Drosophila melanogaster: one gene and its partners. The gene in region 1 interacts genetically with each later gene. Each region holds a gene or a part of one and is shown in the gene's direction. Other genes may lie near its edges.

Evidence for each region.
Region 2: of upd1 (region 1) and bun, changing one suppresses a phenotype caused by changing the other (phenotypic suppression), as found in Drosophila melanogaster (2 studies listed by BioGRID).
Region 3: of upd1 (region 1) and Egfr, changing one suppresses a phenotype caused by changing the other (phenotypic suppression), as found in Drosophila melanogaster (2 studies listed by BioGRID).
Region 4: of upd1 (region 1) and Stat92E, changing one suppresses a phenotype caused by changing the other (phenotypic suppression), as found in Drosophila melanogaster (5 studies listed by BioGRID).

The regions. Positions count from the first base shown.
Region 1 is NC_004354.4:18,303,744-18,310,935, reverse strand, and holds upd1 (unpaired 1), read left to right. Parts: upstream 1-1,644; 5' UTR 1,645-2,127; intron 2,128-2,676; exon of another isoform or gene 2,677-3,199; 5' UTR 3,200-3,336; coding exon 3,337-3,693; intron 3,694-3,768; coding exon 3,769-3,918; intron 3,919-4,107; coding exon 4,108-4,842; 3' UTR 4,843-5,582; downstream 5,583-7,192.
Region 2 is NT_033779.5:12,542,990-12,548,674, reverse strand, and holds the start of bun (bunched), read left to right. Parts: upstream 1-2,063; 5' UTR 2,064-2,265; exon of another isoform or gene 2,266-3,032; intron 3,033-4,331; exon of another isoform or gene 4,332-4,735; intron 4,736-5,076; exon of another isoform or gene 5,077-5,499; intron 5,500-5,685. UniProt on the Drosophila melanogaster protein: Probable transcription factor required for peripheral nervous system morphogenesis, eye development and oogenesis.
Region 3 is NT_033778.4:21,544,302-21,549,983, forward strand, and holds the start of Egfr (epidermal growth factor receptor), read left to right. Parts: upstream 1-2,341; 5' UTR 2,342-3,289; coding exon 3,290-3,590; intron 3,591-5,682. UniProt on the Drosophila melanogaster protein: Receptor tyrosine kinase, binding ligands of the EGF family and activating several signaling cascades to convert extracellular cues into appropriate cellular responses. Known ligands include spitz, gurken, vein and giant-lens.
Region 4 is NT_033777.3:20,547,545-20,553,265, reverse strand, and holds the start of Stat92E (Signal-transducer and activator of transcription protein at 92E), read left to right. Parts: upstream 1-2,158; 5' UTR 2,159-2,545; intron 2,546-5,721. Other genes in the region: DPCoAC (dephosphocoenzyme A carrier), read left to right, coding at 1-139, 210-357. UniProt on the Drosophila melanogaster protein: Might play a role in signal transduction and activation of transcription.

The DNA.
Region 1 (7,192 bases):
CACAAAAGGTGTGCGCTGCCACCTTGATATATGTGATATATGCGAGCGAGTCCCTCTCTGTGGGTTGTGGGTCCTGCGAGATTCGAGTCCTGTGCGTCCGTCCTGCCTTGCGGCGAAATAAAGGCGAGTGGCCCCGCTGCGCAACACAACTGCTTCCTGCAGCAGTTGCTGCACGCTGCACTTACGGTTAGACGCAAGGACACACCGTCCGCTGTCCGTTTCGGCCCGCTATCTGACCATCTACAGCTGTTTTCGGCTGCCCAAAACAATGCGGCCATAATGCAGCAAAACTCTCAATTTAATTAGACCGTCAATTGTGCAAGCCCTCGAAAGTAGGGAGAAATATGGGCATATTTGACATAGGGATGTCCTAGGTAGATGGGCGTCCGGGGGTTCGCCAGTTGGGAGTACCTGGCCCACTGGCCAGAGATTTCACACTCTTCTTCTAGTTACCCACCCAAAGCGGAATTGCGACAATATCAAGCCGAACTCATCGAGATGGTCAAATATCAGCGCTGCGATTATCAAAATAAATAATTTGAGGTGAGTTATAAATGTATCAAAAAATGATGAAACAACTTAATGTTTTACGATTTTTATGTAAATCTTTATTAATTAATTACCCATACGAACAGATTTAGGCATATATATGTATATTATTAACTTCATTTAAACAACTTGAATCATGTCAAATGAATTTGAATGGTATATACATATATAATAGATTGTGAGTGCCAAAATCACTACTTCAGTTATATTGATTGTGGTTCGAACACGTATAAATAATATTACTATAAAAATGTATATATTATGTATTATTATATATATTACTACTGGTATTGAGAAGAATTGTAACTGCACAATTGGTTGATTCCTTAGTGCTTTATCCTATTTTACGCTTTATTCCTTATAATTACTAAATTAATTTTAATATACAAAATATATAGCAATTTACTAGTTGTTAGAAAAAGTTGAAGAAAATGTAATATTGGTTAACGTTCCTCGTGGATAGTTCTCGAATGGATAGTTTACCTGGATTAGCGAGCTGAATAGCGGTGTTATGTTGGTCATTTCCGTTGATCACTTTCTAGACCGATTTGAATGTCAGGACTTTTTGGGAGGGGTGAGCAGGCCGCTCAAGGTCACCCAGAGAGTTTGAGAGAGGGAGAGAGAGAGAGGACCTAGCTGACCGGGCTTAGAAGAGTGAGACAGAGCCAGGTAGGCCTGGTCTTTTGGGGCACCAGGTAGGCTGCCTCTCTTCTTTTCCCGCTCTTTGAGTGAGTGACGCGGATTGGGCAAGTGGGAAAATTCCAGTTGCAATGGCGACCGGCCCAAGATCGCCCTGGTCCGCAGGAGCGAGCGGGATGGCGCGCGAGGACAGCCGGTTGGCAGGCTCAAAGACGGCACCAATACACACTTCGGCCAGGTAGGCGCATACGCACACACGTGCAGGTGACCTGGGAATAGGATACCCCGAATACGATCGGTGAGAGCGGGCGCGGGAGCGGGACAGCCTGCGGTTCTTCGGATCTGAATCTGATCGGTCCGAATCGGCGGTCTTCTTCTGGCTCGGACCATGGCGTACCGCTCGTCGGCACTCGGCGGGCAGCGACGCCGGCAGAGGCCGCTCAGCTCGCCTCAGTTCCCATTTCAGTTTCGGTTTCGGCCTTTTGGCGCTGCTCATCGGTCGGTCGGTTGGTCGGTGGTCGGTCGGTATCGCTCTGGTATTCTGGTATCTGGTATCCGCAGCCTCTCAGCGAAGAAAGCTGGTCAAATCCAGCGCGACTTTGGGCTCAGTTCGGTTTCACACTCGAACGCGAGCAGAAGTGTCCGCGAATCAGTCTCCAAAGCATCGAAATCACCAAATCAGAACACAAACTGAAGCACGGATTTGAACTCGATCTGTGGTCAAGTGGTCTCACAAATATTATATATAAATACATTTTTTTGCGAGTGTTGTGCTGCAAGTGTGTCCATTGAAAACCGCCGGAAAATCAACGAACAACGAATCTCGAACGATCATCGAACATTTGGATTAACGTACAGACTTTTGGGAGCTCAGGCGCAGCACAAACCACGGGGATCCCGCGAGGATCCTGAACGATTCCATTTTTCATCTATAATGCGGTGTGTGTATTATTTTTAATTTGATCAAGACTTAAGAGCAGGCACAATTGGAGAGTGGAGAAGCGATCGAAAAGGATATTTTGGTCAATATCAATTCTCCACTCTTCAAGTGACTTATCAACAAGAAACGACCAACGATCTACTGTTAAGCAAAAAGGACATTCTGTGACAGCAACTGCAATTTTGGGAATTAGGATTAAATTATATAGTTTAATTAATTCGCTCTGCATTAAAATGCAAATCCATTCAGGATATTGTTACTTGTGCGAATCCTTTCCGTTCGTTTTTAGCAGCAAACGATCTTCAGTCTCGAATTTTAATCCTGTCAGATAAAGTAGCTAACTTGAATGGAGAATTTGAAATGTTCAAATTTTAGAATTAGCCCCAAATCCAAAATTCAACCTCAAAAGTTTCCATACACTTTCACACACTGGAAGTTAAAGCCAAGCCAAGCCAGAAGGCAGAGATTTGTCGCCTGGAGAAGATTAGATCCTCGAAACTTGGATCGATACGTCTTCGTTATTCGCTCAGGCTACTCTCGAGTTAATTGTCTAAATTAAAAAGTTTCCCCGCCCTCAATATACACACATATCGCTCTGGAAAAGACAAAAAAAAAAAAACAACGAAAAGCAAAAAAAACCGCAAAACAAACATAGAGAAAATGTTAAAAAAATCGAACCAAATTGTTGAGACTGTTGTCTGGTTGCAGTTGCATTCGCATTGAAGGAGGCTCGGCCGATCATCCGACCCGTAATCCCGATCACCTCAGAGCTCCAGCATCGAAGCACCCGACCACCCAATCCCACCCAGTAACCCATCCACTCCCAAGGGAGTCCAGTTAGTTAACCATCTAGTCAGGGAGGAACAGTGATAGCAGTTGATCGTTGGTCGTCGCGCGTTGTAGCAGAAAATTGAATTTACTTTTGCATTCTCGATACTCATAGTGTTTTTTCTCCACATCTCTTCCCTTCTGACCCCCCATCCCCACCCTTCACATATATCCTATATATATATATTGTAACCCCGTTCGCTGTATCTGCACACTGATTTCGATACGGACCGCGGACAGTAGTTGGTTGGCAGTGCGCTGCGACCACAGCTAAAAACAGCACCACGGCAGCCGGCAACGGAAACGGAAACATCAGCGGAAGCGGTAGCGGTAGCGGTAACGGATTCCGGCGCAGAAGAGAAAGTGGCTACCATGCGGCGATGGCTCGTCCGCTGCTCCTGCTCCTGCCCATCCTACTCGTCCTGCTCCTTGCCGCCCAGTTGCCCCACCTCGCCGAGGGGCGCAGCACCACCAGCAGCGGCGGTCTAACGGTTATCGATAGCGAGCGCCTGCGCATTCGCACCACCTCCAGTACGGCTTCAGCTCAGCATCCCAATCAGGGCACGATCCCTGCCAGCGCCGCTAGTCCGCGCAAGCGCCACAGAAAGCGGAACAGCAACTGGATCGACTATCGCAACTTCGACGAGAACACCACCGCCCTGGAGTGGGCCAATCCCTGCGGTGGCAACTATCATCCCTCGGCGGGTGATCGCTTCAATCGCCAGCGTCCCAGGCAGGTGAGTTCAAACGGCAGCGCTCTTTGGACCCGATCCATATGTAATCCGCTCCCCATTTTATCTGCTTCTCCACAGAGCTTCAATCAGCTGAAGCGCCACGCCTTTCGGGAGTACCGCAGCCTAAACAGTAGCCAGGACTCGGCCATAGATATCCGCAACATGACCATGTGGTCCCTCCACACGCACAACTACAAGTTCCTGCCCAAGCTCAAGCCCAATTCCACGGTAAGCAATCCTACAGTCATACTTTTTATCTATTAACTTAGTTGTCAAAACTAGTTACTAAATCCATCTCGTTATCAACTTTGTATCTATGTATCTTGAAAATAGCTCAATTATCTCGTTATCAACTTTGTATCTATGTATCTTGAAAATAGCTCACAATTGTCTCCATCTTTTTGATTTCTTCCACAGATTGCCCTAAAGCGCTGGTACCGCAACATGCAAACTTACGTGGCCAGCTTTGCGTATCTGAGGCGCCAGCAGATCCGCTGGGATCAGCGGTCCATCACCCGCGAGTCCAGCACCGCCCGCGAGCTGCGCGAGCTGCTCCTGAGCTCGCGGCGCATCCTCTGCGAGCTGGAGACAGCCGTCAACCAGACGCAGAGTCCGCGCCAGAAGCAGCGGCGCAGTGGTGCGGCGGTCACAGCAGTTGGCGGCACCACCATGCTGGGTCAGCAGCTGCCACAGATCTCGCGTCTCGAGATGAACAAGCGTTTGAAGCTGCGCTCCAAGACGAGTGGGCCCGGTATGGGTGGTGCTGCTTCCAGTGCATCCATGGCGGCGGGCGAGGCGGACTCGATCGATATGCGCTTTGTGAAGCACCACTACTACGACTTTTTGCGCACCATGTACCAGCTGCTGCGGCGGGATGGCAAGCGGGTAAGGAGTCGGCCACGGAAGCACCACAAGAAGCAGCAGAGGAGCCAGAAAAAGTTGCTACAGCAGCAGCAGCAGCTGGCGGATCAACTGGAGCAGCGTTGGCGCAGCTCCACCTTGAATGGCAAGGAGTTCAACGAGGTATCCAAGCCAGTGGCCGGTGGTGCTGCTGGAGTTGCAGATGTTGCAGGTGTTTCCGGTGGTGGAAGCAACCAATTTGCACGTGGCAGACGTGGAAAGCGCCAGTCGAAGCGCGTGCAGCGCACGTGAAATAGCATACACAACATTCCCATATCTTTCCATTTCCCCTTACCTCAGGACTCGCCCCTTTCCTCTGTTCTACAAACCCCTAGCCTCAAATCCTTAATTTAACCGTTAATTGATCGATAGTAGCTTAAGTAAATTATTTGATTGACAGCACATAGTCTCTGTTCTCGAATTCATTGCAAGTATTACCACATTCCGTATTTATTGACATTCGTCGAGAGTGAGAGAGAGGGAGAGAGAGAGAAATAGAGAGAGAGATATAGTTATATAGCATACGAAACCACAATCTGCAGTTGCCGTTCTAGTCACATAAGAGCAACCGCCAACCACCACCCACTGGAAAGTATTATTCGCCACGCCCGCTTTGTAGCCCATTCCGCACCCGCATCGAGTACTATGTGACCCCCAGTAGGCTAAGCTAACCCATGGCATTCATGATCATAATTCCATATCCATATCCTTTAGGCTAAACTTTGATCCTAAGGCACACACACACACATTTTTTTTTTTTCGTAGGCTAGCTTGTGTTTCGACATCTGTGATATAGTGCTTGACTAGTTCGTATTTAACCTAATTGTACATATATATTATATATAGATCGCATTGGGGTGGCATGTGGCCGCATCCATGCCTTCGTAGTCCTAAGCTCGCCCTTAGAAATCGATTTTCGTATTTATAGAACCGACCGACATATGACTAAGCCAGCAGCGGAATAAAGCGAACAATAAACTGAATTGAATTTGAAAATAAATCTGGATTGCATTTCATTTTTGGGAATAAATGGTATACATATATCCATTTGGATATACTTAAATTTATGATGGAAAAGAACTTCGTACTTCCCATTTTGAGGTTCAACGTTTTTATCTTATATTTCAAAATTGAAATACCCGAATATCGAATTCAATTCTATATATTTTTATATCTTTTACCATCAAAAACCTATCAACCAACCTATCTTATGTGGCCAACACTTTCGCGTACATTGAATCCCTATACCTGGGGGAGTCAATTACTCCAATTCCCTTGACCCACTTTCTGCGGATTCGCTTTCTGCTGCGCCTTGGATGCGTCTTTATGGCTCCTCCATGGGTCATGGGTTTTATGATCTCCAGCGGCGTCAAACTATTAGCACGTCAGGCTCCCAGTTCCCCTCGATACCGAAACCGATCCCGATCCCGATTCCGATTCCGATCCCCACCTGCTTGTCTACCTGTGCCCAGAAACCCAGAGGAAATGAATGGACTGTGATCAATGGAACCACTCAATGAAAGTTCGCGCCAAGTGCATCAGAACTACATATACTCGTAAAGCTGATCACCATCATCATCGGTGGCATTAGCTCTTGCGGGAATGCTAAGGTGCCGGGATCAGGGGGCAGATGAGCTGACGCTTATCCCCGGGGTTAACTAAAACACGGCTACACTTGTCCTGGTCACCGATTTGCATTGCAGTCTGGAATCGAGAAATCCCCGCTTTGTTTTAAGCGGATTTAGGCAAATTTACTTTTTAATGCCTTGGCTTATTGCCAAGCTCCGTTTAGGGCGCTTAGTGGCAACTTATGGCCAAGTCCACTCGGATTATTAGCGCTCAGCGAACGGAAGCAGACTGCCGTCTACCTTGCGAGTCCTTAAGTGTCCTGGCCAAACAGAGGGAGAAAGGGCAGAGGGAAGGGCAAAACGGAGATGTTGACATGCAAATGGATTAGCACGAGACGCTGAGCAAAAACATTTCTGCATGCATTATAATGCCGCCTAAGCCGTTTATTGATTGCAATCGATCGAAGGAAGTCCAGACTTTAAGCCGCTCCAGGGTTATGGTTTTTATGTTCGGTTTTGGTTTTGGTTTTGGGTACGGGTTCGGATTCGGATTCGGGTCTCTTGACCATAGTCCAGTGTCAAGTGTCCCCTTTTTGGCCTGAGCCCTTTTGGGTAAGTAGGTGTTGTTATGTTTTTAGCTGTCATAAATATTGTAAAACTCGGTAAATATTTAAACAGCGTGCACAATAAAGGCAAATGCCAAGAGGCTCGACGTCGACGGGCATACCAGTATTTCGGTATTTCAGTTTTCAGTTTTCGGATTTCGGATTCCGTTCGGGGCATTGTTTTTGGCCTGGTCATAACGGCCCGGCCGCACCGCCCGACTCTACCTACTACCTGCTCCTTCCTCCTTCCTCCCGGTGAAATTTGAATATGTGCCTGGCCGTGGACGCAGGGGTGCGGTGGACAGAAAAAAAAAAGAAAGAAAAAGATTAACAACATTTAATAACCCATCATTGCGCCGTCCCGCTCCCACGCATTGTGTCGACAATTTTGCAAGATAACTGCATTTGTGCAGTCCTTTGTGCCGGGCC
Region 2 (5,685 bases), on another chromosome or scaffold:
AGTTGTGTATTTCCACCTACACAGAAGAAAAAAATATTTATACTCCGAATCACAAATCGTAGAAATGAAAACTTCACAGGCAAAGCAATATACTATGTAACTATGTAAACTGTGTAATTGAAAAATTCACAGTCACAAAAAAGAATCTAGAACTTATTTTCGTTTTATCATAATCTGAAATAACATGAGTTATTATATATTATCTATTTTTCAATACAGAAAAATTAAAACAATTTCAAAAAAATATACATATGTAATTTTTTAACCTTTTTCGCTCAGTGTGTGCTTGACCAAATGGGCATCTCATGGAAATGACAGTTAAGCCCGCCAACGTTGGTCACCCCAATGAATGCCGGAGCCAGCATTTTCTTCCCCACGAATGCAATCAAATGGAAATTGTTAAAGAAAAGGAAAAAATGCCAGTGAGCACGATTGAGTGGATCGCAGGACTTTTGGCATTTCACAAGGGTGCAACGCATCGGTCTGCACTAATTACGCACCAAACATGTACGGCAAATCGTCAAACCTTTGAATGCCACAAGCGAAAAAAGGGGCAGTTTTTGGGGGGCGAAAAATGTTTGCCAAATGTTTTTCCTGCCTGCTGCAATTTAAATGAGACGTTGGCCAAATGCGAGGGTGTCGCCTGCAGTCGCTGTGTGAAAGTGGGCGGGGCGGGGCGGGGCTGGTCAGTGGAATTAATTCTAATCCCGAACACGTTCCGTTGCGAACGAAGTGGTCAGTTGCGATATACTATATAAATATATATATAATTGTATATACATGCATATGTACATATATAGAACTCCTTAGTGGAGTTTCAATTGGTGGAGGGTGCGTCGATCATTAGCGTGATTTCTTTCCGCTTTGACAAGAAAATCAGAACGCTTCACTGAACTCCATCAGGACGAAAAAAAAAAGAAAAAAGGAATGTCTTAGTCGAATGGTGTGACTATTAGATACCCGTTAGCCAGCTTAAGAAAGTTGGTAAGAGTTGAATATATTTAAAGTCTTAACTGATTAAAGTTAGCAAGCAGAGTATCAGCAAGGTACTTAATTAAAAGAAGAACCAAAGAGTTAAATAAATGCAAGAAGGTAACAAGCAGCAGTGCGACTATCAGATACCTGTTACTCCACAAAACTTTCTTGAGAAGTCTTAGCGCTAGAACAGGAAATGCTCAAAAGCAGTTACATAATTACTGGCAATAATTTATGTTTATTTTTAAGCTTTAATAAACATCAATAGAAAAATTTAATAGAAAAAATAGAAAACTGAGCGCCAGTTCTATGTATCTATTTTGTTTATAAAAACAAGTAAAGTATACAAATTTAAGCATTGTTAAGGTATTAATTTTCTTAATGATTCAAATTATTTGTTACATATATTTTTATAAAGATTTACCAATCGAATTTTAGTCGTTTGAATTCGCTTAGATTCGTTGAAATTCGCTTCTAAATCAAAGCAAAGAAGCGAACCAATGTAAAATATATGTAAATGTAAAATTGTTGGTTCGGTACTTCGACGCGGGATCTGTTTAACGATTTTTTCAGTGATTTCGACACAAAAAGAGTAACTACTGCAGTTATTTTGCTAATAAAAAATTTAACTATATTATATGATAATTATAGATGATATGATATTAAATATAAATATAATTAAAATTTATAATAGTCCGATTTTTGACCAGAACTTATTATCGACATTATATAAGCCCATTATATACAAAAATGATTCCTAAAACAATCAAATAAAAGTAGAGTTGTGCCACTCGCCTTAGTATAACTTAGTTCTAAAGTATATGTTAATTTTATGTTAAATTCATTTTCGAATAATGGAAAAACGAGCGCCAATGTTGCGCTAGGGATTTCTAAACGATATGTAAACGATATCGTATATCGCACGACAATCGCCTGCGTGTAGAACTTAACAATCGATAGTTGTATTTAGCACAGAACCAAACCAAAAAATGCTAAAATATCAGTTTTGAACAGTATAGTGTGACCGCTATATGTGCCAAAAATCCCGTATTCAGTATTTGGTATTATTATTTGATATTATATTTTTATTGGCATTTTGAGTTGGGACAAAAACGCAAGGCAAGTTGTTGGTCTTTTTCGCTGTCTGCAGACGGATAAAAAGTAAAAGAACGCAAATCGAACGCGCCGCGAACGTATTGCAAAATCGCTTAACTCGCGGCGCCCTTGAAAACGACGAGGAAAAGCGAAAAAAGGCTGCGAGAGCTAGCGCAAAATCGAAGAAAAAACTGTGTATGTGCGTGCGTGTGAGTGTATGAGTGTGACGTGTGCGTCGCTGTGTGTGTGAGCGAGCTGGCATGCAGATGTAGAGATGTGTGTGCGCTGCTGCTGCGGCTGTGTGTGCGTGTAAATTGAATAAGAAAACGGAGCACAAATGGCACTGATGGAAAATTTATATGTGCGCTGAAAAATTAATTTATTTGCAAAAAGCCAAAGAGCTGCGAAAAGTAAAGTGACAAGCGGAGAGATGTGCAAAATCGAAAGAACGAAAAATTGTGGATTGCCGACTCTCTGCAGATTTGAAGAGAGTGGCAGCGAAAGAGAGACATAGAGAGAGAGTTTGTGTATGTGTGGGTGTGAGCCGCCTTTGCCAGGAAAACTAAAAAGAAAAAAATTCCCTGGCGTTAAAATTTGCACAAAAAATGTTGAATTCGATTGTTTGCTTTCCGCAGTTCGGCGTTTCGCTTTTTTTTTTTGCACAAAACTTTTTTCGCCAATTTTTCATGCACGCTTTTTCGTTTATTTAATTCCTCTCTCTCTCTCTCCATCTCTCTCTCACTCATTTTTTCGCTCTCCGAATCGACTCTCTCGCAGTGCTCTCCGCTTTTTGCTTGTGCACAGCCAAGTGTCAAAACTGTCATTTACCTTCCTTTTGTCCGATTAGCAAAACGCAACGAAAAACTAATATCCCATCCAAATTAAATTCGTGGCCGTTCGCTTGTTTTAAGTTTATTGTTTTACGCCAAGAAACAAGTAATTTTAAATTGTTTGACATACGCGTAAGTGTGGTAAAAATGTAAAAGAGAGGCCTTTGCCTCTTAGTGCAACAAATCGATCAGAAAGTAACCAATAAAAAAGCAAAGCAAATCGAAACATGTTTCAAAACGAAGGAAAAATCAGAGAAATTCAATGAAACAAAAGTGCAAAACAGTCGCGTAATTGTTGGTGTGTGTGTGTGTGTGTGTGTCAGCGTGTGTGCCCATCCTTTTGGTCTGCTTCTTCACTTTCGCTCAGTTGTTGTTGCAGCTTGCACTTTGTACCTTAGATTTTTCCCATTTCCTCTTTCCATTCCCATTTCTCCAAAACAGCTGGCCAAGCATTTGATTAACTCCAATATTCCTTCGTTTTCTACTGTATTTTATGTGCCATTTACCTTTGTTTATAATGTCAGCTGGCCCGGCATTGTTGTTTATTTTCTGTTCTGCTTCGCCTTGATTGTTTAGTCAAGTGTTAGTTTTGTTTTTGTGCCATTTTGCAATTTTCTGCTTATTTGCCATCCGATATTATGGGGTAATTTTTTTTTCATATGTGATTTTTAGTAGAAATTCATATAAAAAATTGTGTGTTCTGTTTGGTTAACGGTAACTCGAATTACACACAAGTGTTTAGAATTATGGATACGTATTTAATAACAGCGGTGTGCAATAATAGTAGATTTGCAAAAACCAACCAGCATTTCTGAGAATATTAATTTCTAGTTTATGAACTAAAATATGAAATTCACTCTGTATGAGTACCCTTTTTATACAAACTTGAAATGAATAAATCTGATTAGCTTTGAATGCCCTTGAACCAATCTACAATATCTTCACGATCATAATGATCATCCCTTTTAACGCATCTCCGATTTCAAAGCAAAACAAAATAAACCTCAGGCCAGATCGGTTTTCTTGTCAAGCCGCGTGGCAAATTTTTCTGCTTACCATGCACCATTTTGTAACTATAACTGGACGATATATTTGCGTTTAGGAATCGGATACACTTCAGATTTCTGCCAACTCTTTGATACAACCGATGGCACAAACTCAGAAAGGTTTGGATTGTTTTGCGAGTTACTTTCATAGGTATCGGTATCAAGAAGTTGCAAGAAATAAGCTGGGGTTTCTTGAACAGGGATCTATCTGCATAAAAGAAATGCGTGTGCAGACAGTCACGTCGACCAAACCAGAATTCAATCAGTTCATTTTTTTTTGTAATGTAGGAATTTCGGGGTTGATTGCTAGCGGAAAAGTACCAATCTTTCAACAACTGGTTAACTTTTTGAATGAAACCATCATAAAAAAATAACTAATTATTTTATCTAGGGTATTGTCACTTTCGGTACATTTAACACCTATTTGCACCAATTTTCTTTGATGTCTTGTTGCTTTATTTACATTCTGCGACTCAATTCAATTGAGAAATTATATTCGATTTCAATTGTATCTGAGTATCTCATGGATGCATTGTCATTGTAATCTCTAGCTTGTTGTTGTTCCTTTTGCAGCCGCCTCCTCCTCATCTTCGTCGCTGCTCTTTTCTCGTTTGATAAACATTTTCATTGCCTTCTCTCTGCATACATCGCTCTCTCTCGCTCTTTCGGGTTCTTTTACTTCCTCCTACAACGCCTTCGTTTTTCTTTTCCTTTTCCCTTGCCATTTTTTTTGCATTGTGAATCATTTCCTTGCGGAAAGGAAAAGAGCGAAGAAAAGGTGGGAAGTGCCTGTGGGTGAAAGACAGGAAAGGAAAGTCACTGATTGAAAAGTTATTAACTCGGTTGAATTTTCATTATGCATTATTTAACACCCTGGTGTCCTTAAAGTTCAGTTTTATATCTGTCAGCAAGGTATAAATTTTTAGAGGATTTTTTAGAGGATAACCCATTTATTTTTTGTTTCTATTTTTTGCTCCTAAAGGCCTTTTTTGTTATATCCCATTTTCGTTTTTGTTTTTACCGATAGTCTTAAAGTTTAGTAGGGCTTGATAAGGTTTTGATGGTTTAGCTGAGAAAGCAGCAGTGCATTTTATTACCGTATTTTGTATTGGCAATATATCCTGGCTTACCTTTGATGCACTGCGAACAATCGGGACACCTTTCCTTTTGCTTTTCATCTTCTTCGGCTGCTGCTATCATCATCAATATTGATTACCGGCAGCTGTCCGAGAGCGGGAGAGTGCGAGCGAGCAGCCGCTCTCCTTTTGCGGTTTGTTTGGTATGCGGCCCCCACCCCGTCCCGCCCACTTGTAGGCGCCCACGTTGGTAGGAAGGAGCATGTGGATGTAGATGCGGTTGCGGAGGGGCCAACAGGCTGCTCTCGCTCTCTTGCAGCTCCCGCTCTCCGATTGCAATTTTCTCAACGCGCATTCGCTCGCTCACACTCACTCTCTCTCGCTCGCGCTTGCCTCTTTCTGTACTATCTGTTGTAGTTGCTTTTCATTACATTTGTTGTTGTTGGCTTGCCATCGATTTTATGCTTTGTCGTTGCAATTAGTTCTTCTTCTGTTGCTTGCTTCTTGTCTGCACTTTTAGTTCTCATTTTCTTTTCACCCCATCTCCTTGTTGTTGCTTTTGCTATTGAGGAAGGCAGTGAGCAGAGGCAGAAGTCCTCCTCCTCCTCCTTTCCATTCGCCGATTTGTTTGTGTGCGAAATCTGGTGCCTACAGCGATACTTT
Region 3 (5,682 bases), on another chromosome or scaffold:
TCTTCGCAAAAAATCGAGTCCCAAGTCGATGTAATACGCTACATAAGTACGTATGTATGTACTTGTGTATTCCATGTGCCAATGTGCAACACTCCATAATGCAACGAATTCGTTGCGCCCTATGGGCTGGAGCATCCCTCTCATCCCGCCGAGACACTTGAGCGCCTCCTGAGCCGATCTTTTGTTGCCCTTAATCTGCGTGGCACTTGAAAGTAACGCCTCGACGTCGACTCGCCAGACATCGATGGTGATGATCACGATGATTCCAATGATTCCGACAACCTGTAGAGCGGCCAGGAATCAACTTCAAGGGCCTGGTTCTCGAGGCTTTCTTTTGAAATTGGTTAAACCAGTGGAGAGATCATAGACAGATGGAGTGCTGCACTGGAGTGGGGGAGTTAAAAAACATTTCTCTTCGCATGGCATTTTGTACGCTTGATCAAATGTTTATGAGTGTGGGTCGGGGCATCTTGGAATCTCAGAATCTCGGCATCTTACACCTCTCGAGCGGCGTTTACCTGTGGTTCGTACTGGCGGAGTTGGTGGAGTGCCCTGAAGTGGTTTCAGAGTTCTGAGTTCTAAGATCGTTCTCAACTCGATGTTCGGCTGTCAGTTGCATGCTCTTCGATTTTGACAGATGATTCCGTACGGTTTGGGCAGTGTACCTTTTGATTGAGGTCTTCTGGCTTGGGACAGACGGCTATTAATATGTTTGATTATGGCTGCAGACCGGAGCATGGCGCTTTTACCCCATCGTGGAAATCTGTGGAAATGCTTTTCAATTTAAATGTATTTTCATGCTCTGAAACAAAGCGCCGAGCAAGACAATGCAACGCCTCTCGAGAGTCACAGCGTGGGATTCGAGATTCAAATGTGGACCGAGGAGTTAGTTGCGCTTTTCCAAGTGCACCTTTTGTATTTCTGTTATGGCAAAGTGAAAAAGGTCAAAACGCTTCGGATTTACCTGCCGAAACAGTGTCCTTTTGGCCCGATCCCGCAGAGCACATGGCGCAGGCGTAAAAACCCCGATTTCTTGTGGGCTGGGAACAGGTGAAGAAGAGGCCAACGAGATCTCGGTCTTGGATCTGCCCTAACAATGTTGACAACGCTCGTACAAAAATCTTTTTGCCAAAAGACAATCCATGGCCCACGCAGGCTCGGCTCACAGACACAGATGCAGATGCGGGCACAGTTACACACACAAACACACACAGATACAGATACAATTGCCGAGATCTTTTGTGCTTATATGGCAGCATTGCCCACACATACCCATGTATATACAGCCAGGTGAGAGAGCGGCGATCGCTTTACCTGAACGCTCTCAAATTCGCCGCAACAACAGAACCTCCAACAACAACAACAACAACAGCAGCAGTGTCAAGAAATTGGGATATACACAAGATCTTACCTGGGAACGACCTGCAATCGATGCGAATCTTAAATGCCCTGCACAGCTGTCGGAGTTAAGATGCTGTCGGATAATCCCCGCATTGGTTTTTTTGCTCTTGTCTTTGCTATTGGGCATTTTGGGGGGAGGGGAAAATCAGGACATTGTTGCTCAAGTACTTTCCTTTGTTGGAAAACTCGTCTCTGCAGTTGAAAAGGCTATTTATGGCGCCTTCTTAATCCTACCTAAACTTTGCTATCTTAAAACTGAGGTTGTTGCGTATAAATGCTTCTTAACTTTTTTAACATAAATCCCGTGTGTATATTATTTATACACGCCCTGTATATCGAGCAACATATTTTGTGCAAAAAGATTGTCCTTCTTTGGTATCCACTCTTCAAGCTTGGGATACTTAACCGCTCTGAGCCATGTACTCTATGTTAAGATTGTTAGTTGAAGTTATGTTCTGCGAACTTAAGATCTCTAGTTGGTGTTTCCGTTCATTTGAGATGGCGCTAAATTCGATTCTGTGCATTAGGGCCAACGTTTAGCATTTTCCCATGATATGTAGAGCATTTGCTGGTCTGGGGGAAGATTGCCCAATGTATCTGGCCGTATCGTTTCGTATTACGCTGACTTTTTAAAATGCTGCTGCTACGTTTACGATTACCTGTGGATTGTGGATGGAGATGGTCCGCTGGCGGTGCGAGTGGGAACGCTGCACTGAGCGAGCGAGAGGTGGCGACAGCGGTGCGCAGCTGTGCCGTAGTTGTTGCTGTATCGCTGGCTTTGCTTTTATTTTGACCTGATCTGAGCTCGAGATTTCGCCGTTCACCTTTATTTTTACCTGTGCGCGCTCTTTTCGCCGCAATCGAGAGTAAGAAACACGGCGAGAGAGTGAGAGAGAGAGACAGAGAGGGAGCAGCGCCTTTTGGCTGCGGCTTTGGCCTCAGTCTCGAATACAACTTGTTGCTGCGCGGACGCGAATCGCTCAGTACGGACGTCTTGAGCTCGAATCCTCGGCCATATCTGTGCTCTCGATCGCAGCGTTTGCTAATTCGAAGATCGTGCTAATCGAAGTACCGAGAAATCACAGTTCGCAAAACGACCAAAACCAAAGCCAAAAACGGGGTGTAAGCCAAGTGCCTTTGGCCTATACTATACTACTAAGCGTATTTTTGTGAATACCCTGCTAATTGGCAGCCGCGGCTGTGGCGGTTGTGGCTCAGTTCGAATGATGGCCAAGTGTGTGTGTTTTGTGCAAGTTAACCGCTGCGGGGGCAACACAACAATTGCTTAGGGCAATCAATTAAAGCTGAAAGCTAAGAGCTGCGCCTGCGCACGCCTCTCTAACCTCAAAAATCGTTGGCGAACTCAAAAAAGAAGCTGAAAAATACATCTGAAAAATAACAAAAATTTTATTTTTTACATACACTCATATATATATATATATATATATGAAAGCCTTCGGACGACTCTTGTGGCTCGTAATGTGAAACTGGTTCCTACACTCACGCACACACTCACTCACTGGCGCGTTCAAAAGACCCACTCGAAAACACACACTCACTCTCACGCGCATACACAGTGAAATGTAAACACCAATACAGTGGCAAATTGCAACGACAACAGCTTAAATTCAAAACAACAACAACAACAACAGCAACCGCAGCAAACGCAGTGAAAGAGTCGAAATCAAATTTATGAAAAGCTGTATTTTTGGCACGCAAAGCTGAGTGAGCAAAAAGCCGAAAGTAAACCGCAAGTTCAAGAAAAAGAAACGAATAAAAAATAACCCCTATGACGTCAGGGGTTATAGCTTGGAAGAGGGCTTGATTCATCCCACCAGTAACGCCCACAAAAAGCACCAACCACCAAACCACCCACCGCCCCGCAACAATGCTGCTGCGACGGCGCAACGGCCCCTGCCCCTTCCCCCTGCTGCTCCTGCTCCTGGCCCACTGCATTTGCATTTGGCCCGCGTCGGCGGCCCGCGATCGCTACGCCCGCCAGAACAATCGCCAGCGCCATCAGGATATAGATCGCGATCGGGATCGAGATCGATTCCTATACCGCAGCAGTTCGGCCCAAAATCGACAGAGGGGCGGGGCCAACTTCGCCCTGGGACTGGGAGCCAACGGAGTCACCATTCCCACCAGTCTGGAGGATAAGAACAAGAACGAGTTCGTCAAGGGGAAAAGTAAGTGCACCGCAAGGATCTATCCATCTTCCTCAAGCCGCCCATCATCTATCAAAATGTGTTTATGTAGATCATCTGGCTGACTGACTGGCTGCCCATATATCAAAAGAGCCAAGTCGTCCCGAATTTGGCCACCGTATCAGTTGGTCTCTAGAGTTTCCACCGTTTTCAGGTGTTTTTTTTTTTATTGTAGTTTCGTGCCAGCGATATGCTGTCGTTTATCTTATCGCTGTGATGTTTTTTTTTTATTTTTCCCCTGTACTGCACTTTAAATATAGCTTCGTTTTCGGCTGCATTTCGTATTATTTGGTCTTATCGTTACCCTGGGAATATCAATTATCGAGGGGTAGCTGCAAAGTGTGCAATATTACAAATATTTTACTAAGCTCATAGATTAAAAAACACTTGCAATAGTGTGTGAATTCGTAGTATTTTAAGTAATATAAGCTTACTTAACATTTATGTGTCTGGAATATGGACTTTGAATGATATTTCCCAATATCACGTATACGCCAGGGTATCCCCTAGTCCAGAGTGAATGCTCCCTCCATTTAATACCTGCCCTTCGCGACGGTCTCACCTGCCCTGTGGCTCACCTCTTGACTTGGCGCTGGCTTAGTCAAAGAGTCTTGTGTGCACTATCGCCCCTGTTTCGAGTTACCCCCACACCTAGCCATCAGATATCACGGCAAACATACCAGAATACCAGAACGCACTGATTAGCCAAGCACTGAGCACTGTGCTGTGCATTTCGTAATGTCAAATGTACAAGGTAAAGCGTAGTAGTTAGTTAGTGTTAAGACCGCCCGATTTTTCCACTCTGCCACTTTTCCCGCCGTCTGCGTGCCCTTTTCTGTGCATCAGCAGCAATTGCAATTGCAACAGCAAAAGCAACAGTAAGAGCAATAGGGCAACTGCAACTAGCGACACAATTTCCAGCTAAAATGGCGACTCAATTTGTTGACTCTGCAGTTCTCGAGGTTTTCTTTGTGGGCTCTTTGTTTCTTACCCGTTGGAAAATAAATTAATACACAAAATTTGGTATTCGCATATTGGAAGTTTTGGCTGCTTGGCTGGCTGGCTGTATGTTTGGGTAACCATTTGGCCACAATTTAATGAACTCCATGGCGTATCTGGCGGTGTCTGTTTGCACAGTACTTTGAGGCAAATGTTTGTATTCGGCGGGCAAACAGAAAAGTAAAAATTAAATGGGAGGCGAATAAAAGCGGGCCGTCGATACCAAGTACTCAGTGATCTTGTAGCTGCAAATTAATAACTGAATGTGCGCATTGTGCGCCAGCAACTGTGCAAATATTGATAGGAAAACGAAAACTTTGGCTACGCAGTCTATGCTAATGGGAGACGGGAGACCACCACCGCATAGCCGGATATGTGGATGTGGTATGTATGTATGTATGTATGGCTAGATAAGCGAGTTATGAAACCGATAAAGATGCCAGAACCTTAAAAAGCGATATTACCCTTTTTTTTCGCACAGACGATCGCTGCTGTCACAATGCCCTTTTCGCAGAAATTGTTCGAGTTATTTGCTCTGGCTTACTGTTTCGCTGTTTTCTTTATGACCATAAAAATAAGCACAGCTGCGGCATGTATGCAAATAAATGCTAGAGAAAAGCCTGCACGTGCATTCGAATCGAAACCGTTAAAAAAATCGTTGGGGGTAGGAAACTCGAACAACTGGCAATTGTTGTTGACGTCTTTATAGTTCAAAACGCTACACTCGCTGGCAAAAAATCACCTTTTAATTGTTCATTCAGGCAAAATTGTAGTAAAATCAATAAAAAGTTTCCAGAATTTTACTTTGACGTATTTTATTTCCAGTTAATCATACTAAACGCCAAGTGGATTACCCAAAAGTAGTTAGTTAGTTAGTAGTGCCTAAATCGTCACATTTTGCAAGGACTTCTCTTATGATATTATAGTTTCCTTTAAATAGTTAACCATTTGGGTTCAGAACCATAGCCACCCACCTCCCAGCACATAGATACACACAGAAACAGACTCAACGCAACCCAGCAGGTATGAGTGTGCGTGTTAGCGCTTGAAAAACCACATTCCATAGTGCGCTTTG
Region 4 (5,721 bases), on another chromosome or scaffold:
GTGCTGCGGCTGGTGCCGCCGGGCAAACGGCCAGCTATCCATTGGACATTGTGCGGCGAAGAATGCAGACAATGCGGGTGAACACGGCTGGCGGAGATCGGTACCCAACCATCCTGGAGACTCTCGTCAAGATCTATCGGTGCGTGCAAATCTTTGTCAACGATTTTATTCATATTTTAATTGCGATTTTAATTACGATTTCCAAACAGTGAGGAGGGCGTCAAGAACGGTTTCTACAAGGGACTTAGCATGAACTGGATCAAGGGACCCATCGCCGTGGGCATCAGCTTCTCCACCTACGATCTGATCAAGGCGTGGCTCACGGAGCTGGCCAACTTGAGACGGGTTGAGAAATAGCCCAGCTCCCTGCCCCTGCCACTCGTCACCCATAAACACCACACCAAAAACGCACTGCTTTGATCTTAAGTCTCGCGATCGATGGATGAGCTGAGGAAATAGAAGTGAAGCACCGACATGCTCTAATTGTTAGATATTTTTTAGCTGTTAGTTGTGAGGGAGAGAAGCGATGAAGTGAAGACACCCGAAAGCGCTTAACTTTGTTATTAACCGTAATTGATTTATTATCGCCGTAAGCCGAAAGTATATCAGCCAATAAACTGTCTGAATAATGACTCGCCTGGCACATACTGCTCCCCAGGACCTCGTATTCAATGGTGTTGCTTTGACAATAACACTCCTAGATTAATGATTACGATTTACCCGAACATTTTGTATATTGTGTATTGCCAACTCAATGTCAAGGCGCTGCGACTGTTAAAATAGTCATGAATTTGAGGGTGTTCACACCAGCATATACTATGTAATTCTTGTATGTTAGTGTGTTTTTATTATTAAAATTTACAAAATTGTTTAACTGATCGATTATCTCAATCGTTTTTAAAACGCGCGCCATCGGTTGTGACAGGTGGCACCTCCGGCGATTACGCGATAACATCTTTTGCGGGGGTGCTGTATATCGAAATATGCTGGTAGTCGCGTTCGCAAAAATTCGAGTGCTCGCAAAACGAAAACAACGTAAATTTAGTGCGTTTTAAAAGTGATAATTAAGACTATTTGCCCTGGAATTAGGTGGCCCAACAGCCGTGAGCTGCAGGCGGTGTTGTTTTAAGGATAAAAAGCGTTTTTCCCCCAACACCTGCCATAACCAAAAAGGCAATCTGAAAGGTGAGTGATTTGCTGTGCTGCGCCGATTGTGGAATGGATTAATTATTTAAGGCCTATTGATTAGACGGGGCACAGCCTTAAAAAAACCCCTCTCCGAGCACCAACCCTCTTCATTTAAAGAGGGTCGGGGGTGGCATTCTCATGCTCGCTTGTTGCTGCGCACAACAGGTGAAAATTCAGAAGTCGCGTATGTTTATATGCAGAATACACAAGAGTTGGCAAAAGACCATTAATTGTGCTTCTCTGCGTCTGGGGTAACCTTGACTTTCGGTGGACAAATCAATCAAATGCAATTAATTACACCGCCAGCGGTGCATATGTGTGGGTGGCAGCTCGTGTGTGTACAGACAACATGCGCACTCATATCTGCGGCGCCACAATGATGCGAAAATGGGTGTAAACCCCCTTTGATAAATGTTTGTTTATCGCAATTAGCTTCGCAAATTGTTTATTCTTTAGCAGCCGACAGTGCTGTTAACTTAACAGGGGTGCGAGGGTTGCACTTCGGGTTATCAGAGTTTTCCACCATCAAATTCATTTTACTTCTAAATAATAACTTCAATCAACTTATTTTTCTTTAATTAACTCACAAAGTTTAGTGGAATATTAGCACGATAGAGATATATATTTCGTAACTTGTTTAGTCTTAATGTTTCTTTTAGAACATCTTTACGAAAAATCCTAAATGCTATTTGTTTAATTATGTGCATTCCAAGTCAAAAATTTATAAGTAATAACAATTCAAAAATTTTGTTTTACCATAGTTATCGAGCTTTGGTCCCTGGTTGTTAACAATATTTTACTGCGCTGCTCTATAAAATTAAATCAACTTATTTTCTAATTAGAATTTCCTATCTTCCCGGTTTGGCAGAGATTTATCAGAATCGATACCCACTGTTAACAGCGATTGTTCACATGTGTTCATCGTCCGATAGTATCGCATGTGGATCGCTTTCGCTCCAACTCTAGAGACGCGGCAGTCGTTTTTTAGCCACTATAGGGAATTGTTCGAATGCGGAGCAATTTTCAAATGCGCAACCAGTTGAATTCTTTTGCAAGTGCACTTTGTTTTCAAGGATTCGTTTAACTGATAGGATTTCCTTTGGTCGAGACTCTAGTTTTTTTTTCTAAATTCTCAGTGCGTGTGCGGGTGTGCATGTGCGTTCCGTCTCCCTCGCACTGCGTCGTGTGTGTAATGTTTGTGTGTGCGTGAAGCCAGCGCGATTTAAAAATAAAACGGCAAATACATAATAAAAAATATCGAAGAGCAACAGCGGCAGGCGTACCAATACAAACTAACCGATACCAGCCAGCCGTGTGTGTTTACACAGTGTTGTGCGTTGGTGTTTGTGTACCAAAGGTAAATAGAAATAGGAGAAAAAGAGCAACAAATTTACGAGTGGTGGGGGGTACGTATATAAATGCGTGTGTGGGTGGGAGGACTCCGCTGCAAATGTGCACTGCGCAAATAATGTGGGTGGGCGTGTGGTGGTTCCGCAAGGCCTTCACGAAGGTTCTCTGCCTTTTGGCCACAAATTCGATGCACCATCATCATGTGTTTCCACTTGACGCTTTATTTATACATCAACAAAATACCCACACACATGCACATGTGTTCTTCACGCTCCTGTTTCCCGGTCTTCTTCTTCCCCGTTCATTGTTGTTTCCTGGAAAGCCCATAAAAACAAAGGCAACAAGAATTTCGAGTGCAATAGCACAAATGGCAGCAACAACAACACTGATATCGAGTATATTAGCTGTTCCCCATCTCACCGTCCCACTCGCTCCCTTGCACAGCGAGAAAGCGAGGCTATAAAACTAAAAATTATATATATTTAATGTCCTCTGTTTAAAAAATTAAGCTTTTTTGTATAAATACATAATACAATTTTTTGTATAAGGCATTGGTAAATTAATCCCATGTGTTGGGGCCCGATTCAACACCTGGTATCACAACATTTGGCAACACATATTTAACTGTTACTCTAGCACTATTTTTTCAAGTGTCTGACGTACGGGGCCCTATCATTCTCATATTCACATGCTACTCTTGCTTTCATACGTCGCCGACTTCTGCGCGCTCAACACTTTTATCTTGCTCGCTGTCGTCGGTCGCTTACTGCCCCCTCCTCCGTCGCGGGCTTCCCCTCTCTCCACCATGACTTCTTGGCCTGGCTATAACCCGGCTGGCTTCTACCACTTCGGACAAATTACGATTGTCAGCGACGCCGACGTTAGCTAACCCCTTGGCGTTTCACATTTGATAAACCCGATCGCATTGCTGTGGACACCGTAGATTATCATTGGTCATAGTGGGTCCTCCAATCAATGGCCAGGTGGACGGTCAACTTACATAGGTTAGTTGGCAGAGGGGTTTCTTCGTTTATGTCAACTAATAAAACGCATACATTATATAACTACCATTATTTATTAACAGTGGTTAAAATCATTAATTTTATAGATGAAAGGGAGATACAATATAATATTGTACTTTATTCAGAATTGTATTTACGGTCTGAGAAACTATATTTTACATTTAAAGTTCACCCTGAATTGAAATAAAGTAGTAATGTGGCTTTTATATATTGAAAATATATTGTATATAGATTCGAATGAACAGATATACTCTAAATGCCACGATACTTAAAACTATAGGGTGCTCAAAGTTCGTTTCCCCAATTAGTTCTTCTATATCGTGTTGGAACTCACTCCCGTCAGATTTGAACATATGTATTTATGCAGCAAAGTTTATCGCCACCAATCCAGTCCACCACATGTGTTTAAAGTTATTTCTGGATCTTCGATATAGGCAGTGCTAATTATTGCGCTATTATGCGAATCACTATCCTCAAGCGCAAATCAAGCCGGCTTCTTATCGGCGACTCTCGTTATTTACTTTGTTACATTGACACCTCGTTATCAAAGTCGTTTATTGCGTTGCATTTCATTGTCGTAAATGGAGCACTCTGCTGCGCCTTCAATAGATTGGGGGCCTACTGTACTTACACATATTGTGCCTGCTTATCGCTGGCAAAATGCTTTTCTGGTGGTAGTAGATGGCCCCCGAACTAGCGAATCAAAACTTCAATCTATAGTTTCTGAGGAAGTTACTTTGAGGAACTTACTACAACGTATTTTACAAATATTTTTGTCAATATGCCCAATTATCAAGTTTGAAACCCGAAAATCTGTCTAGCTCGTAATCAAAGCTGTACTTATTATTAAAAAATTAAAGATCATATTTATTTATTACTTGAAAAACCCAAATCATTGGTTATGGAAATATTGACCCTAATGCTAATTAGTTTTTGAAAAACAAATAAGTAATATAGAGCAGTAAAAAATGGATTCAATAGAGGATTAATACATTTCTGCGAATCTTTTGTTGCACTCCGCTGATAAGGAGTCCCATTTATTGGAATTTTGCTAAGACTTTACAGTTAAGCAATAAAAGACAATGTTTGGTAGCTGTATTGTTTGATAACCTGACTGACTTCAGTCGAATAATCACTTTTCGAACCATTGAGCACCAACACAAGACTGATAACTGAGTGATACCCAACCATGATTGTATTTGTATTGCAGATGACAGTTTGGACAAATATTCCTTAATTACTTTATTTTTTGACAAATAGACTTGAGCACATATTTTATGAGCTTAAGATCGGTGGGATTTATGAACAGATAAGTGAGGTCATCGGGGCAAGTGTGACAACAAACATTGATCTGTTCGCGGAACGAGCATTATGTGGTGATAAGAAACCGTGTGCCGACACATTACTTAGCTCAATATAACCCAATCGATCCGGTGTTTCTCGTTAGACGAAACAAAAGCCGACAAACATCGTGCAAAATGTCAGGCGAGCAGCAACGATAAATGATTACTTAAATAATACTTGGTGTGGCAAAGTGGTGGTGGTGGGGGGGCTCACTTTGGGCTCGGTTGGGGGTGGTGCAACGGCGAGGTTTCCATTGTCGATGTACGGCGTACACCCACACAACCACGAGGAAAAGAACACTGAGGCATGCTTATTAAACTTTTATGAGTACAAAAACAAATACCACAAACGACTCTCGTTTCTCACAGGGCAATCGTAAGTGTGTGCGTTGTTTATAAAAAATTGAACAAGAAAAATATAAAATGAACGCGGCTGGCTGGCACAAATGTCGAAGCAGCAGAAAGCAAAAAGCAAAAAGCGAAAAGAACAGCCAGGAACAACAAAGGCAGCACACCCGCGCTTGGGTGTTTGCAATCGTCGGTTTTCGAAGTGGTCAGAAATGCTTGGACGCCATACTAAGGGCCGAGGAAATTGTAGTGACCCCAACCAAAGCTCTACGGGCATAACAATCCCAACTTTGATGTCATGCCCATACAAATTTTCCCCCCACAGAGTGCATGACTAATATTCAAATTGGTGTGTCCAACTCAAAGAACGCGAATTTTTATAAAGTTATATGCCAACACTTTTATGGTTTATTTAAATAAATTGTATTATTGCTAACATATGTATGAACGTCGAGATCGCTAGAACTTTA